2 linked regions of the Bombyx mori genome follow. The protein of the gene in region 2 purifies or fractionates together with the protein of the main gene of each other region. This does not show direct contact. Links are inferred from orthologs where the notes say so. Each region holds a gene or a part of one and is shown on either strand. Other genes may lie near its edges.

Evidence for each region.
Region 1: the proteins of mitochondria-associated granulocyte macrophage CSF signaling molecule (region 2) and DnaJ domain-containing protein purify together in Homo sapiens (affinity purification with mass spectrometry; 3 studies listed by BioGRID and IntAct, with this or other methods). This does not show direct contact. The link is inferred for Bombyx mori from reciprocal best matches to the Homo sapiens genes PAM16 and DNAJC19.

What each region holds. Positions count from the first base shown.
Region 1 is NC_085121.1:12,782,592-12,786,531, reverse strand, and holds DnaJ domain-containing protein, read right to left. Parts: upstream 2,384-3,940; 5' UTR 2,251-2,383; coding exon 2,248-2,250; intron 1,900-2,247; coding exon 1,660-1,899; intron 749-1,659; coding exon 632-748; 3' UTR 531-631; downstream 1-530. UniProt on the Homo sapiens protein: Mitochondrial co-chaperone which forms a complex with prohibitins to regulate cardiolipin remodeling.
Region 2 is NC_085113.1:10,832,316-10,835,593, forward strand, and holds mitochondria-associated granulocyte macrophage CSF signaling molecule, read right to left. Parts: upstream 1,686-3,278; 5' UTR 1,641-1,685; coding exon 1,257-1,640; 3' UTR 617-1,256; downstream 1-616. Other genes in the region: transmembrane protein 169, read left to right, coding at 1-392; DNA replication licensing factor Mcm2, read left to right, coding at 2,368-2,370. UniProt on the Homo sapiens protein: Regulates ATP-dependent protein translocation into the mitochondrial matrix. Inhibits DNAJC19 stimulation of HSPA9/Mortalin ATPase activity.

The sequences.
Region 1 (3,940 bases), on a different chromosome or scaffold from region 2:
TAACCGTGGCTAGTAGGTGAGCGCTCACGGGGCTCAAACCTGATGACGTTGCTAACACGAACCCTAGCAAGAGCCGTGCCTCGCAGAATCTACCACCGGATCGGAAACGCGACCCACTGAGAAGATCCGGCGAGAAACTCAGTGGGCTGTGTCTGAGAGTTAATTTACTCGTAGAGCCCTTCGTCGCAAGCGACGGGTTCGACGAGAACGGTGACCGGTGCTTGAAGTACCTAAAAGCACCGTTAGTGGATCGGGAGGATCCGAGATGACGTCCGAATGTTGTTATTCGGAACTTGTATATATGCGCTTTATCTTGAAAATGTCGTAAGCGAGATTCAGGCATCTGTCAATTACCTTGCGTTGTGTGATGGCTACCCGCCACACACGAATTTATGGCATAATACATATAAATGAGCACTATATGTAGAAAATTCAATGAAATAGGTTAAGAATAAAAAACCATGGTAATTTGAAAAATATTTCTACTTAGCAGCTGCATTTGTAATGCAACTAAAAATTAAATAACTAAACATTTGTTAATACTAAATTCATTATTAAATCTAGACACAAAATGATCACAATCAAAACTAAGTCTGCAAAACTTTCGTATTTACAAAAAATATTGTTGTGCCTATGATTTTCCACTTTCAAGTAGATCTTTAGCTTCATTGATCTTTGCTGCTATGAGGGGTGACCCACCCCTATCAGGATGATTTAATAGCATTATTTTACGGTGAGCATCTCGAATCTGAAAAAGAAACTTGTGAATGAAATAAACTGTACAATTACTATTAAGATATTTTAATATCTAAATGAGGGCTTTTTATGTGACCATGATATTTATAGCTGAAAATCAAATATGTATTCTTTATAATCACTGGAAAAATATGTTTCATATCGCTATATTTAATGTTTTAAATTAGACAAAGTTAACAACCTATACAATTCAATTGAGACTTCAACTGCAAGGTTGATATTTGAGGAAGTATTCACACTGTGATACATATAATGTATGGAGCTTCAAAACAACTTGGAGCATGAGCTTGTTGACTCATCTAAGCAAGGAAAAACTAATAATTAATAGTTGATTGGAATTTAAGGTGAATGTATGTACTTTTTATGTACTTATAAACATTGTCTAGCTAAGGAAACATTTTTGATCTTGTTTTATTTAATTTTACTACCCATTTTATAAGTTACAGATGTTATTAGTTATAATACAACAATTTACAGCTAACAATAACATTAAAACTAAGTTATGCAGATGTTAAATATATGTATAGACTGCCCAAGACCGATGTAAATGGAAGGATTTGATTCGAGTCCTACACCCCAGCAGAGGGTAGTAGGAAAAAAAGGAGGAGAAGAAGTGTGCATCATAAATATTAGCTTGTACACCTGGATAGATTTCACTGCTCACGTACAGACTTGCTAGGAAGTAGGGCCCTCATGTGTCAGCAGGGCTTTAGCCATTTTTAGCGCTGTATAAGGTATGCTCCTACTTCTTTTGTAATCATAAAAGTTTGATGTGTTCCAGTTTGAAGGACAAAAAAGACCTATCTAGCCCTTTCTACCGTTTACCACTCCCGAGTGTATCTATGACTAAAGATGACCACTTGCTGTCAAATAAGGTGGTTAAAGACAATCAAAAATATTCACCTTAGCTTTACTGGCTGTGGGGCTTACGCCTAAAATAAGAGCCGCTTCCCTTTTCGTCATTTTTGGTTCAAATCCACCTTTGTAATATTTAGAATTTGCTAATGTTTCAGAGTCGAATTTAGGTAAATTCTTCACTGCTTCGGCAAATTTCATTGAAGCGTTTGGCATTTGCTTTAGAACATATCGTCCGGCGAAACCGACCGCTGCCATACCAAGACCTGCCAGAATTATTGAGCTAGCCTGAAAAGTAATTGGATACCCTAAGTACTAAATGCGTGGTACTAATTATTTTTATTATTTCGAATCTCAAAATCTTTGTTTTTGAATGGCGCACAGGTGAGTAAAATTAGGGTTATGTTGTGTCAGAAAGCTGGATGAAAAGTTGCTCTGCTGTTCATTTAATGTTGCTTTTATTATTAATGCAATAAAGGGGACAACGTAACCAATACCCAAAGAAAAAATTTCAGACCCCCTTTTTAAGAAAGATATATCAGATATCCTGTAACGTTATATTGTTGGGATGTTCTATGAAAAAAACATTATTATCTATTTGGAATTTGAAGTCTATAAGATTATTTTATAACCTACCATAATAACCTGCGTATTAAATGGTTTTGATAACAAACAAATTCATAATCACTTGTGTGTACAAATCACTGAGTGAGTTAATGTTATTTTCAATTTTCAATTTCGTATCTAGACACTCATTTAATAAGTGTTCTAAATAATCTATGCTAGACACAATTTAGAAAAATAAAGTAGTAGTAATTTTATTTTACCAACTGGAAAGGCCACGGTGTCAGACCATACAGCCTAATCTTTTGTATATACCGGAAAAATGGGGCGATTAGGGACAAATTCCAAATTTATGACCAATTTTAAGGTAGTTGTTGATGTATATAATGCTATATCAGGATCAAAATGATTGAGTCTTGGGGGCATCATTATTGTCCAATTTAAAACTACGCAACTAGCATTCCAGTTTAAGCAAAAAAAGCAAAAATAGGTGTAATCCCTATTTACCCGGAAATAGCGGTTAATTGGGACGAAATGAGAAATTTGCTAGGGTTGTAGGGTTTAAATTAATTTATTTTGTTGCATAAAAAATATTGAAAAGCTGAAAAAAGTACATGGGAGATGTCACCTCTCCCCCACTCTGAACAAATATTAAATATTTTATTATGTATGTATGTATGTACTTAGACATTTTTGTCCACCTTGAGATTTCATTGTTCTTGTTACATGTCTGTGCAAAATCGACTTACTTATATTAAATTGCTTAGCTATTTCAACTAAAGACTTATTCCCAATTTCATATGCTTCTATTGCTGTTTTTAATATTAAGGGATCATATCTCTTATGAGGCTTTGCACTCTTTGATAGATACACGCGAGGCATATCTAAAAATAGAAAACAATACTTAACTGATAATATAAATATTTACCAAACAATAAAATAACACATTGATAATTTTGAATAAAAGTTCTAGACAAAAACATCATGAATAAACCAGATTTTTACCAACAAATTTAAAAAATATTGTTATAACTACATAGACAACCCTACAAACCTGTACCTATTTATACTTAGGTCGTTTCCATTTCACGTATTCTCATCCCAATTGACCCTTTTTTCGTTTTTATTTGTACCTAAGACGTCCCCAATATCCCCAAAAACAACAGATTTTGACATGTATTTTTATTTTATCAAATACATTAAAACCAATAACAACTGAGACTTACCTTTAATATATATGATGGTTCAAACACTAAATAACGTTTATAAATCACAGTCGTCTTCTATTATTATCAAATAAATAAAAGAGAGCAAAGTTTCTAGCACTAAAATAATTACCACCACAGGAAGTTAATTTGAAACGTGATTTTTTATAAGTTAGCAGCTATTATCATGCATATTCAGAGTTGTTTTGTAAACTTTCAACATTCTACTATTAAACTACAAAAAATGGAAGATTTTGCAACGAATATAAAACTAATATTGAGCATCGAAAGATTTTCCCGGTTTTTTCCCGATTCGCCTCTCAATCCCTAATCGCCCCATTTTACGGTATATATTTTTTCATAAATGAAAAATGATAATATGACGTGAAATGAAATGTGATGAGATGAGATGATATGGGATGAAATATAATCTCAGTAAAATGGTAGGTAGTCATTTACTGAGACTTTTGGGAGGATCCCGAAGAGTTACATCCAGTGGCTTTGTTTTATTTTCCCACATTTGTGCACTTTCACAGATACTAAACAGTTGATAAGCAGCT
Region 2 (3,278 bases):
TTTCAAAGTGCTCTATTCGTAATGGGCCTCATGTGTTCTTGTTTACTCTTATCTGCATTCCATTTGTGACATGTATCTCGGCTTTGTACTCATTTTATATGGGGACCATAACGTGGTATAACATATTCACACATATAACTGAAAATTTTAGTTGCATTAAAAAAGTTGTATTAGCTCCATTGATAATTTTGTGTTATCCATTTTTGATAGTGATCTTCACCATTGGCCTTGGATTATACGCAGGAATCGTACAGCTCACATTCAGCGCCGGTAACTGGTGGAAGGATGTATGTGATTTTGAGAAAGGCTACTATGGTTGGCTCTGTAATATGTTAAGCTTGTCAGAGTGTAGTCCTTATGAGGTTGTGGTCTTAATGGACGTAAAACCATAATGAATTTGTCTCTTTCTTTTATATGACACTGCCATGAATATAAATTTAATATTGATTATTGCTGTTATGAGCTGTATACCGTTTTGCTGACAACAATAATTCAAAGAAGCATTTTAATTATATAATAAAATGTAGTGTATTTCCTCTGCTCAATTGACAAGAAAAGTTATGAAATGCTACATATTTGAAAACCAGAAATTGGTGTTCATAGAATTGTCTTAATAAGGGAGCATATAATATTGTGAAGTGTTTGGATTGTGTGCGCTATAAGAGATTGGGAACAAGGAGGAAGGTAGTACTTTTATGGTAAATTAATTTGTATTTTTATATTAAATCTTGCTCAAGTTCTTCCAAAACATTCCATATAACCTAGTCAGTCTAGTCATTAGAATAGTGAATGATTTTTTTGCCCTTTTTTACAAATTGAGGAATATCACAAGTCTGTCAATAACTTTAATAATAAATATTGTAGTGTGTGATTTTTACATATCTCATATTATTTTAAACTTAATTATTAAGGTTAAGAAAAATGTAACTGTAGCATTATTGGCTACTGAAAATGCAAAAAAAATGTGTCAGGTAGTTTAATGTACAATATAAAATTATAAAAAGTTGTGCTTAGCAATAATTTATTGATTATTAAAACAATAAAAGTAACAATGCTTTAGCAAGTAATGTAACTGATTGTATTAAACTTTCTACAGCAATATAATATCAATGAAATTTTGTATTAAAGCATAATCAATGTTTATGAAGACTGATGTATTCTAGTCACTATTGTGGGCGTTTGTACTCAATAAACATATTTTACAGGAAAATCAATTTACTAATTTTAATCACTACACACTAAATCACAGCCGAGTCTCATGAAGTGTCTTTAGACGGGCCCTGCTCGGAGTTGGGTGATGTTTGTTTTAGTTCCGCATCTAATCTCTCCTTCGCTCTTACGATTTTCGATTGCAAATAAAACGAACCTCCTTTCGATTTGTCGTTTACGGCGAAAAGGTGTTCATAATTTTTACTAATTTTCTCGGGGTCTACTTTTTCTATATTTAATATTTGCATTGCTTCTTCTAAAGTCAACCCTGTGGAAGCATTGGCAGCAGCTCTCCGCGCTCCTTCGGGTCCACCGCCAGCCCTCTTCGCTGCCTCTTGGGATGCAGCTATTTCTTGTTTCAAGGCGCGTGCGAATGCTCGACCTACAACCTGAGCGCCCAAAACTATTATCTGAGCTATGTATTTAGCCATGTTTCATTATCAACCGTCTTATACAAGTTTTTGTCATTACGAAATAACCACAAAATAAATAGATTAACCGTCAATAGTGACTGACGGAAATACAGTGAAAACGCTTTTTTCAATGTTCTTCTCCAAATGACAAAGGGAATGTAGTCCATAAGCTTTAAGATTGTTGATTTTTTTCCCTTATTTGTACGCTGAAAAAAGATTCATTGCTGAATAAAATTAAAGCCATTTTTTTTATTTAATGTGCAGAGACATAGTTACAGCATATTTTTAAAATACAAAATTAAATCATATTTTAAATAATTGTCAAAATTGACCAAACTGTTAAGAAATATATGGTCCTCCGCCTTAAGCTTCTTCTTCTTCTTCTGTTTGATTTTGGCTCGCTCGGCTTGCGTATTTGCCACAAAGCAAAATAAACGCTTGGGAAACTAAGTAATCAAAAAATTTTTAACTGATTCGCATGGGAGAGATTAGGAAAGTTAGAGAATATATGAAGATACATATAAAATAAGATTAACGCCTTAAGCTTCATAAACTGGCTTAAAAGACTTTGTTTCCAAGTCAGTAAAATTTATAAAAAAAAAGGTTCATAAACATAACCTACGTTTTTTTGTAACTGTAACCGCCTTATTTGTTTTGTACATTTTATTAGTTTATAGTCTTTAATTAATTTGTTTAAACTATTGTTTGTGATTGTGTGATCGTTTAATTGCTTACTTTAAACAAAATGGTAAGTATTTGAATAAATAAATAAAACAATTCTCCATTTGTTTACAAACTACGAACTCGTGTCTTTATGTTTTGTTGGACGGTTAAATTTGAGGGGATTGGGTTCTGTAGGTGATGAGGGGCTATTTAAAAACACAACTGCTTCATTATAATTATATTGCAGATAGCTTGAACACTTTTACAGCATTATAAACTTATTTACTTTATATTTTTTTTATAAAACTATTACATGTTTCTCTTGCCGTGTCTAGATGAGAAGTATTGACATTTTCTTACGAGAATACAATCATCTGTTTTTTTTAAACATTTAAAATAATTCTAATATTCGAAATCTGTAATCATGTGTCAAGTGTTGCCTGCCATTACATTTATATACAAACTCCAACATGTTTAATAAAACCCAAATTAATTTATTTCAAACCTTGCAAATTTTAAACGCTGTGATTTCGTTACCCATATATATTAAAAAAACAATTTCTTTCACAAATTGAACTGTTCTGTCCTACAATTATCTATACTTCTATACATTATAAAGAGGAAATATTTGTTTGTTTGTCTGTATTGAATAAGCTCCGAAACTACTGAACCGATTTGAAAAATTTTTTCACTGTTTGGAAGCTAGACTATTCCCGAGTGACATAGGCATAATCTTTTTTTGAAAAAAATTTGGGATCCTTACTAAAACTCTAATAATGTAACCGAAGGTGTAAAAAATTACCTAAAATATTCTTTACATCGCGTGCCCTGCGAAAACTATTGATGATAGAATAAAATAATGTACTACGACTTTGTAGAACACATTATTATTTACAAAAAGCGTCGCGATAGCATATGTCTAACTATTATAGTTATGCCGTAATAAGTGTTCTTTTATTTAAAAAAATAAAACAACTTCAAATACTGTTGAAT